Linked DNA regions of Drosophila melanogaster. Changing the gene in region 1 together with any one later gene gives a genetic interaction. Each region holds a gene or a part of one and is shown in the gene's direction. Other genes may lie near its edges.

What was found.
Region 2: of ash1 (region 1) and Marcal1, changing one suppresses a phenotype caused by changing the other (phenotypic suppression), as found in Drosophila melanogaster (one study listed by BioGRID).

Annotation. Positions count from the first base shown.
Region 1 is NT_037436.4:19,595,452-19,600,279, reverse strand, and holds the start of ash1 (absent, small, or homeotic discs 1), read left to right. Parts: upstream 1-1,524; 5' UTR 1,525-1,894; exon of another isoform or gene 1,895-1,909; intron 1,910-2,023; 5' UTR 2,024-2,043; coding exon 2,044-2,124; intron 2,125-2,186; coding exon 2,187-4,828. Other genes in the region: Taf6 (TBP-associated factor 6), read right to left, coding at 4-173, 236-1,120. UniProt on the Drosophila melanogaster protein: Trithorax group (TrxG) protein that has histone methyltransferase activity. Specifically trimethylates 'Lys-4' of histone H3 (H3K4me3), a specific tag for epigenetic transcriptional activation.
Region 2 is NT_033779.5:4,953,449-4,959,031, forward strand, and holds Marcal1 (Marcal1), read left to right. Parts: upstream 1-2,060; 5' UTR 2,061-2,134; coding exon 2,135-2,901; intron 2,902-2,959; coding exon 2,960-3,450; intron 3,451-3,509; coding exon 3,510-3,660; intron 3,661-3,729; coding exon 3,730-3,894; intron 3,895-3,959; coding exon 3,960-4,242; intron 4,243-4,303; coding exon 4,304-4,498; intron 4,499-4,559; coding exon 4,560-4,775; 3' UTR 4,776-4,844; downstream 4,845-5,583. Other genes in the region: Jon25Bi (jonah 25Bi), read right to left, coding at 875-1,675; CG34124 (uncharacterized protein), read left to right, coding at 5,030-5,124, 5,182-5,344, 5,403-5,583. UniProt on the Drosophila melanogaster protein: ATP-dependent annealing helicase that catalyzes the rewinding of the stably unwound DNA.

The DNA of each region.
Region 1 (4,828 bases):
TACCGGGTGACACGGGTTTGCAGATTGTTGGTTAGGGTATTGAAGTTCTTGCAGATTTGAGCCATCAGTCGGGAGGCAAAGTCTCGCAGGGCCCAGTGATTGTCCAGCTCGGGGCGCATACACAGCTGTTTGGACACAATGCACGTCATCACCGAGGGTATCAGTTCGTGGAGCTATGCGGAGACAACATCGTTTTTATGAGAAACAAAGAACAATACAATAAGAAATTTCTTACGTATTTCTCCAGAAACAGCGAAGGATTATCCAGAAGCGCACGAACCATGCGCATGAGGTAAATAAGCAACGCCAAGTTGTTCTGAACCACATTGACCTTAACTCCCTCGGCAATGAAGGTGCACATGCGGGGAAGCATTTCGTGCAGGCCAGGATCGGATCCCAGCGACTGCAGCGCTTCCCCGCGCCGCGGCTCATCAGATCCCACGCACGCCTCGGTGATCTCCTTGTAGTACAACTGCTGCTCCACGGACAACTCGTGCGTGGCCAGTTGCTTGACATGAATGGTCTCCACGTTTTTCAGCTTGTGTATCTTGCCGGTGGTGGGTTTGCCTGCCGCATCTTTGTTTAGGCCTTGATCCATCTTAATAACTGGATTGACCGAGTCCAGTAACTGGGAATCCTTCGAGAGCGGAGGGGGGTTTTCGGGCACAGTGGGTTGCACTCCCTCCACAACAAACCAATGGGAGCGCAGGGTGAGATCCAGGGGAATTTTTACAGAGTTGGTGGATGTGATTTCTCCTAGGTCGATTTCCTTGTCCTCGGTGAAGTGCAGCTCCCGTCCTCCGCCAGATGCGAAGCGGAATGGAATGAAGTCCTTGGCTACGAAACCGTACTGCGGCTCCACATTTCGCACCTTAAGGGACATGTCGATGTCCCGCACTGAGAGCTTCTGCCGCTTGGCGTGGTTCATGAACTTGGCCGCATCCTGTACAATCCTCTTCAGCTTGATGGACACATCCTCCGCTAGTTCCTTGGCGGCGTCATCCGACAGGGAGCCCACTCCGATGCTCTCCGCGATCACCTTCATGGACTCCGCCGAGATGCTGGAGCCGTACAGCATGCTGCTGGAGGGGCTGCTCGGTTTCGACGGTTTTCCACTCATTTCCCAGGTTTTTACAAATAAACAAATAATAATCGCCGAGCTGCTCGGCCAGTGTGCACACACCCAAAAGAGAAAATCTAGCTATTCTGGCTTTTTTGTTGTTTCATATCGTCTGCTATAATTAGTTTTATGGTCACCTAAAATTTTGCTATTTGCGAGTTCATGTAAGGAATATATTCCCATAACAAATATTTAGTTACAATAGTAAAAAAAATATAAGAATTCATTTTTAATTCATAAAAAATGTCATATTAATATTACTGGTTTCACATTGTTATACAATAATCGGCTTGTTTTTTTCCAGCTATTTTTGAATAGAATCCACTATTGTTCGCGATAGTTGCCTGCTAAATTCCGCCGCAAGGTCACACTGTCGCGTAGACATCACGTACACCCCAGCTGGGCACACTGAAACGCAGTCTTTTTCTTTATTTATGTTCGTAAATTTTTGGTTGCCTGGCTTTTTGTTGTTGCGCCACATTAACAATAACAATTGATGCGCCCCGCCACCGCCCACTAGTCGCGAAAAAAGTGAATTATCGGTACCGCGGATTAATGTGCCACATGCGAGAAGCGTTGCAACGTTGCGCCGTCGTCGGGCGTCGAACAAAGCAGTTTTTGGGAAAGTGAAAACGGCGCCATTTTAGAAGCAGGCAAGCCACGGCCTAAGGCTCAAGAAAAGTGCAAATGCAATGTGTGCAGCAATAGATTGTCATTTCGGCACAAACGAAACCGACTACTGAGGTCTACTACTAGCCCAGAAAACAATCAAGCGTAAGTGTGCTGTAGGTAATGGTTTTTTTTTTGGACGATGTCACCGCGGTTTGACCTACTTTAAAGGCGATTAAGAGTGCCACCAAATCGAATTAAAAACACTTGGCTAACAAAAGCGAACCTTTGCAGCTCCCCAGCGACTCCAAAATATGAGCTGTAGCCAAAATGAGACGGCAGCAGCAAAGGTTCTGGAAACGCAACGCGCACAAGAATCCGGCAGTGAAAATGAGGCAAGTCTTTAAAATGGCACCCTTTATGCAATGCTATATGTAAAGTGTGTTGTTCTCCTCAGGAAACCGATTCCATTACGGATCAATCGAGCCAGTCGAAGTCGATCAAGTCAGCCACCCAGTTTAGCGTGCAGCGTTCGGACACCGATGGACTGCGAATGAGAATCTCGGCCATCCGCCCCACGTTAGGAGTCGTAGCAACCAAGAAACCCCCAAAGTCCAGAAAAATGTCTACCCAGGACACCGAGTCCGGCTGCTCGGAGGCCAAAAATAGAGCGGTCAGCAAGAAAGTGAAGGTCAAGCGCAAGAAGCTGGCAAGTTCCAGTGGGATTAGTAAATCGGACAAAGTGTCTAAGTCTAAGAAGTCACAGATCTCGGCATTTTCCTCGGACTCAGAGGACGATCTGCCCTTGAAGGTGCATCAGCAGAGAGCTCCGCGAGTGCTGCTAAGTGCTATCATCCAGGCGGCACAGTCGGCCAGCAAACCCACCCTCGATATCGGAATCTCGTCCAGCGACAACGAGTTACCTAACCTGGTGCAGGCGGCTATCAAGCGAGTGGAGAGCGATACGGAGGACACAACTGTGGAAGGAAGTTTCCGCAAAGCGGCCAAGGACAAGAACCTACCCCAGTACCAGTCAACTTTGCTGCAAGACTTCATGGAGAAGACTCAGATGCTGGGGCAGACCGTCAATGCGAAGCTTGCGGAGGAGAAAGTGGCTAAAGCTAAGGAGGAGACCCTAGTCCAAACAGCTGTTCCTCGAAAGCGCAGAGGTAGACCCAAAAAAGTGGTTCCCACAGTTCCTGCCCCAGGAAACTCTGGCCCTGCTATAAACGAATCTGCCGATTCGGGTGTGATAAGCACCACTAGCACAACGCAGAGCACTACTCCCTCCCCGAAAATGCAAAATGAGAATGCTGTGCCGACGGGATCGCTGCCAATCGCCTCCAGCAGCAAGCCTAAGATCGACATGGCGTATCTGGACAAGCGAATGTATGCCACTGAGCGGGTGCTCTATCCACCGCCCAGGAGTAAGCGACGGCAGAACAATAAAAAGACAGCCTGCAGTTCATCCAACAAAGAGGAACTTCAGCTTGATCCGCTGTGGCGAGAGATCGACGTGAACAAGAAGTTTAGGCTGAGGAGTATGAGTGTGGGTGCGGCTAGTGGAACAGGAGCAAGCACCACTATTTGCAGTAAGGTCTTGGCCGCTAAGAGCGGTTACGTCTCGGATTACGGAAGCGTACGACATCAGCGGAGCAGCCACAACCACAACTCCGGTTACAAGTCCGATGCCAGCTGCAAGAGTCGATACAGCACCAAGAGTTGTATGAGTCGCAGGAGCAGGGCAAAGAGCTGCGGCTACCGGAGTGATTGCAAGGAATCTGGAAAGTCAGGCCTAAGGATGAGGCGGAAGCGCCGGGCTTCCATGCTCTTGAAGAGCTCAGCAGACGATACTGTCGAGGACCAGGACATCCTTCAGCTAGCTGGATTATCTCTGGGCCAGAGCAGTGAGGAGAGCAACGAATACATCAGTAAGCCGAGCCTTAAAAGCCTTCCCACGACAAGTGCCAGCAAGAAGTACGGCGAAATCAATCGCTATGTGACCACCGGGCAGTATTTCGGTCGAGGCGGTAGTTTGTCTGCCACCAACCCGGATAACTTCATTAGTAAAATGATGAACCAGCGTAAAGAAACCCCGGCTCCCAGCAAATCGTCCTGCAAGATTAAATCTCGCCGCTCATCGGCAGCCAGTATGTGCAGCAGCTATGTGTCTGGGGTGTCTAGAATGCGTCGCAGACATCGCCGGAAGAGTTTCAGTCACAACAAATCATTGAACATTGATTCCAAGCTGCTCACCGAAATCGAGATAATCACAAGCACCTTCAACTCAAGGTGTCGCATCCAAGATGATCGTTTGACCGGAAGCAGTGGCAAAGAGAAGCTATTGGCCGATGCCAACAAGCTGCAGGCCACCCTAGCAGCACCAAGCCCTGCCCAGCAGTTGACTCTGAATGGAGGAGGACCAGCTTCCACCCTTTCCAAACCATTAAAACGGGGCCTAAAGAAGAGAAAGCTGAGTGAGCCCCTAGTGGACTTCGCTATGCTATCAGCTAGCGCTAGTGGAACTCCCAATGGCAGCGGAAGCAGTAATGGAAATACCAAACGACGACACAAGAAATCTCAAAGCAATGACAGTTCCAGTCCCGATGATCACAAGTTGCCGTTGAAAAAGCGCCACTATCTTTTGACTCCAGGAGAGCGTCCGCCGGCGGAAGTAGCATTCGCCAATGGGAAATTGAACGCAGAGGCCTGGGCTGCAGCCGCGGCGGCTGCTAAGAGCACTGCGTCTACCAAATCGCAAGCCCAGTTTAATGCTAGGAGCGTAAAATCTGCGCTAACGCCCAAAAAAAGACATCTCCTAGAGCAACCTACGTCTGTGAGCGGAGCTGGCTCGTCGGCCAGTAATTCTCCCCTGAGAATTGTTGTCGATAATAATTCCATAAGTGGTGGAAAGTTGCTGGATATAAGTCCTAGTTCCTTGTGTTCCCTCAAACAGCAGAGGAGAGGAGGAGCAGCTAAACAGAAGGTGTCGGCAGCGAAGGACCTCGTTCAGCTTCAATCCCCAGCTGGTAGCTATCCTCCCCCCGGTGTGTTCGAGCCATCTGTGGAGCTGGAAATCCAAATTCCTCTTAGTAAACT
Region 2 (5,583 bases), on another chromosome or scaffold:
TAAGATAGGTGCCAATAAGCCCCCATTCATGCCCAGAGCCACAACTCAATGGAACACTCGAACAGGAGCGCACAGAGATTAGGGCACACGTCCTGTGGTCATTCAAAAGTAGTATTACAGTATAATTCGCTTAGCTGCATCGATAGTTAGCTGCATCGGCAAGATATCTGCATTATTTTTCCATTTTTTTGTGTGAATAGAAAATAGAAAATAGAAAAAAAAAAATTAAGTTAGCTGCATTTTTAAGTTACCTGCATCGAGGCATTGTGCAAAGTACTCGAGGCAGCTAAGCGAATTATACTGTACTTAACGTTCGTAAGTGCGCTACATTGTTTAGGTTTTAATATTAAACGCACTCCCATTAAAGTTATTAAAATTAAAATTTAAAACAATAAACTAAACATTTACAAGTAAAAAGTGAAATATTTTAAAGACGAAAGTTGTATTATTTTTTAGAAATATATTTCATATATTTAATAAATATATCACTTCGCTTTTGTGATTTGTCAGTATAATAATCCTTTGGAATATATAATCTTTTGGTAAATATATATATTATTTCATTATCTGATTATTGACTAGTATAGACCACAGTTGCTAGTATTCCTACTTATGTCTATCATGGCTACATATATAGTGTTTAATCATGTTTTCCAGATAACAAGTGTTCGATTGCCAAGAAACCATCCCATTTCTTAGCCATTCATGGCTTCTTATCTATAAGACGTTTATTATAGATTCGGATTCTGCATGACTAGACTTTTGAAACTTAAAAATATCCATGTGATTTTTTAAATGTAATAAAACCAGAAACATAAAGGCGTCAAATTAATTGTTATGCATTTCGTTTATTTAAAAATAAAGATAATCAAGCTTAGTAGTAAGCAACGCCGGAGTTGTCGCGGATCCAGTCCAGCTGGTTGGTAACACGGGTGAATCCGGAGGGCAGGCCAGCGGTGCAACCGTTGCCGGAAACCCAGGAGGTGACACCCACCAGGCGGCCACCGTCGTGGAGAACCAGGGGGCCACCGGAGTCACCGGAGCAGGTGGACTTTCCGCCGGAGGTGGACACACAGAGGATGCCATCGGGCTGGGTGCCGTAGGTGCGGGAGCATTCCGAGTTGCTAATGATCTGCAGGTCGACGCACTCCATCCAATCGGGCTGGGATCCGGCGGTGGTCAGTCCCCAACCGCAGGCGACGGCCCAATAGTTGTCGTACATGTTGTAGCGATCGTTGAAGCTGGGCAGCTCCACCTTGTTAACCATGTGCCAGAAGTCCACGTGGGGGGTGCGGATCAAGGCGATGTCGTTGCCGTTCTGGTTGGGCCAGTTGTGGTTCTGGATGAAGTCGCCGCTGCCGACGGTGTGGGTGAACTGGGCGTTGGTGCGCCAGGTGGCTCCGTAGTAGATGGTCACCTGGGAGGCGCCGTTGGTGCAGTGAGCAGCAGTCAGGACCCAATCGTGGGCGATGATAGAACCACCGCACCACCAGCCGCCGTTGCCGCTGAAGCCCAGACCCACGGTGTAGGGAGCCTTGCCCTCGTAGGCTGGATATCCGTTCACAATGCGGCCATTGATCTTGGTGTCCTTGGGCAGGTCCTTGGGATGAACCTGCTGGACAGTCTCGGCGGAGACAGCGGCCAAAGCCAGAGCCAGTACAACGAACACTTTCATGGTGATTGGATCAATCGTGGTCTGCGCCAGACTTCCATCCGTTTTTATTGCGCCCCTTATCGCTGTCTGGAGTAGCCCCCACTCGGCGTTATCCTATCTCTAAGAAATTCGCCCTCTGATACCAATGGAAATTAATTGATAGCACGTCTAAGAACATCTTGATAGGCAAAAAAAATAATAACTCGCTTTTAGGAAAAATTCTAAGCTGATTATCTTCGCTTACAACCGACGTAGGCAATATAAGAAAACAGAAATGATTTTAATTTAATTTAAGGACTAAATAATTTATACATAATATATACATAATAATGTATACATAGAGTATGTAAAATGTAAAAATAATTTAAAATAGGCGCCCAATGTAAGATGTAAGGATTGAAAAATGGCTCACCTGGTCACACAGAGCCATGCATTTATTGTTTATATATTCCGCCAAATTTTATCAATTGATGTCGCAGCATGTCCACTTGCAGTTCATCCGAGATAGCGGAGAAGAAGCGCATTGCGCTGGCCAAATTGCAGGCCAAGAAATCCCAGCTGCTGGCCAGCGCACCCGCAACCAATGGAAAATCAACAACGTCTGCAACAGGTGCGACGCAACATGCGAATAATGGAAAATCAAATCCCAATCAACCGCAGGCCAAATCCCCATTGAATTTCTACCGATCACCGACGGGGGAGCAGAAGAAGATCAACAGGAGCGGTCCCACGCCCGGTGACAACAAGAGCTCATCCTTTCTGAACGCTCTGAAAGCAATCAAACAGACATCCAACCGGGAATTGTCCCGCGGAGCAGCACATCCTTACCAGCGGCCAAATGGAGGGAACGAAAGAAACAAGCCCACTCTTTCACTGAGTTCGGATAAGGAGAAACCGGTGGCTGTGCTACTCGGAAACTCCATCACGTGTAATCTCTACTTGATCAGCACACATCGGTTTGCTGCCCAAACCTCAGGATATCACGAACAGCTCGTGACCGTGTTCAAGAACATGCCCACCAAGTGCTACGATGGCCAAACCCGTATCTGGAGTTTCGATCTGTCGGACTACCAATCCCTGAAAACTCATGCAGCGGATCTAAAGCCATATGTTCACATGAATGGCATTCCGAAGAAGGTGCTGGATCTCTGCGGCCAGCCGCCAGTAGTTCCGGAAAGAAGTGTTTTAGCTTCCATAGAACCGAAGCTGGCGGACCAGCTAATGCCCTTCCAACAGGATGGGGTATGGTAAGCATTGCTTGTATGCTATGTACTTCCAAAAGCGCTAAATTTATCATATGTTTAGCTTTGCCATAGCCCAAAAGGGACGCATTATGATCTGTGATGAAATGGGCCTGGGCAAAACCTATCAGGCCTTGGCCGTAGCCGACTATTTCAAGGATGATTGGCCCTTGCTTGTCTGCACCACCGCTTCTACGAGAGACAGTTGGGCGAAACACATAATGGATCTACTGCCGAAGGTGCCCATCCACTATGTCCAGGTGCTGAACAACAATCAGCTATATGTGGGTGAGGCCAAGGTGCTAATCACCAGCTACAATATGATGGAGCGACACGAAGATAAGCTGATGCAGCGGAAGTTTGGTTTCATCATCTTCGACGAGTCGCACACGCTGAAGAACAGCAAGGCCAAGTGCACGACAACGGCCAAAAGACTCACGGATCAGGCGAAGCGGGTGGTTTTGCTATCCGGCACACCGGCTCTCTCCCGGCCATTGGAACTTTTTACGCAACTGCAAATGATTGATGGCAAATTCATGAATTTCATGGAGTTCAGTATGTCAAGAATGTCTGTTTACCTTAGAACGCGCTTATATCGATTAACACATTCACAGCTACTCGTTATTGTGATGGAAAGCAGTCAACTTTTGGTTGGGATGCCAATGGTCAATCGAATTTGGAGGAACTGAAGGTCATACTTCACCTTAAATATATGCTGAGGCGAACGAAAGTGGAGGTGCTGCCTCAACTCGCTGAGAAGAACCGGTGGGTTGTTCACATTGTTGTATATCTATAATATATTTTCTAACATTTCGAACATTCTTCCATCCGCAGTGAGACTGTCGTCCTGGATCCCGCCCTAGTGTGGACCAATGCGGAGACCAAGGAAACCTTGGATGCGTTTAACAAAGAGCTTAAAACCGCTAAAGGCAGGGCAACGGAAGAGATCTTACTCCGTTTCTATGCACGCACTGCCGAAGTGAAAACTCGAGCGGTCTGGTAATAAAAAAAATCATTAAAACCATATAAACCATCTGAAGTTAATGTATTATCCTGCATTATAGCGCCTACCTAAAAACCTTAGTTAAGGAGCAGAAAAAGTTCATTATCTTTGCCCACCATCGTGTCATGATGGACGCCATTAGCGACTTCCTCAGTGGATTGAAAGTACACTACATACGTATTGATGGACAAACGCGTAGCGATCACAGGTCGGATTCTGTGGACACGTTCCAAAAGAAGAGCAGTTGTAAGGTGGCCCTGCTCTCCCTAAAAGCCTGCAATTCAGGAATAACGCTAACTGCAGCTGAGATCATAGTGTTCGCTGAACTGGACTGGAATCCTAGCGTAAGCTTCGCTTATATGTTAACTTGGAGAACGCTTAAATTTAGTTTTATTTTATGTGCAGACTCTTGCCCAGGCGGAGAGCCGTGCCCATCGCATTGGTCAGACAAAACCGGTGATTTGTCGCTATCTGATTGCTCACAATACGGCAGACGATATAATCTGGAACATGCTGAAAAATAAGCAAGAGGTGCTTAGTAAAGTGGGCATCTTTGCCGAAAATCTTCAGAAAGCAACACACACAGCAGCACCCACTTCAGTAAGATACATTTTGAATACTTTGAAAAATGTATTTTTCGCTAACTCAACTTTTTTTTTAGTCCCACAAGATCGAGGAGTACTTCTCGCCCTCCACGTCCACCTCCCTTGAACCGGAAAGGAATAGCATAAAACAATATTTTTCAACTATTCCAGCTAAAGAGCCGCCTGAGCAAAATAATAATACAGAAATGACCAAAGTAAACAAGGCTGAGTCGGATATCGCGGCGTTCTTTAACGATGATGATGATGAGGCTTTTTTGGAATTAGATATTTAGATTGTGTAATGGAATTTAATCCTAGAATGTTTATTGAGTTAATCGTAATAAATTGTATTTGAGAATGTTATAGCATTGAATGAAACTTGTTGAACGCACTTCTGCGCATGCTCCACGTTTGCAGAACTCTTTTCAGATAGCCGGTTTCATGTGACCTGGCAACAGGCAAACAAACACTCAAGTAAACCTTTTCACTTGTATCAAATAAATAAATACACAGCAAGTTAAGTTTTGTACAATAATAGCTAAATAATATGGATACTACGCAGGAATCTGATCTGCTGGGCGAAGAGGAGGAGTTGGAGAATGAGAACGACGTATCCTTTCCGCGTGATATCGTCAGTGTAGAGTGAGTACGGAATTGGAAGTTGATAACTTTTTCTTGATTGGAAAACTTCTGCTGCAGACACTCCTTTGGTTACGATTGTAAGAAGCTGTTTAATTTGGTCCTTGTGGATTCAGACACGCTGGTTTTTGCCTCTGGAAACTTCCTCAACTACTTTAGCATTTCGCGCCAGGAGATTTCCTTTCAGGAAACGGTCTACGGCTGCGGAGTGGGCTTTATAACGGTGAGCTTTTTAGTACCTTTGAGTACCTTTGTATGATCTAATGGTACTCCATTGCCAGAAAAACGAGCATCCTGACTACACCAACCTCTTTACGGTGGGCGAGAACGGAGCTCGTCCCACTGTCTTTATCTACGAGTATCCATCGCTTAATGTCCGTGTTAAGCTACTGAATGCAGCTCAGAATTGTTTTACGGCGGGCTCCTACAACAAGACGGGGGAATTGTTCGCCTCGCAGGCTG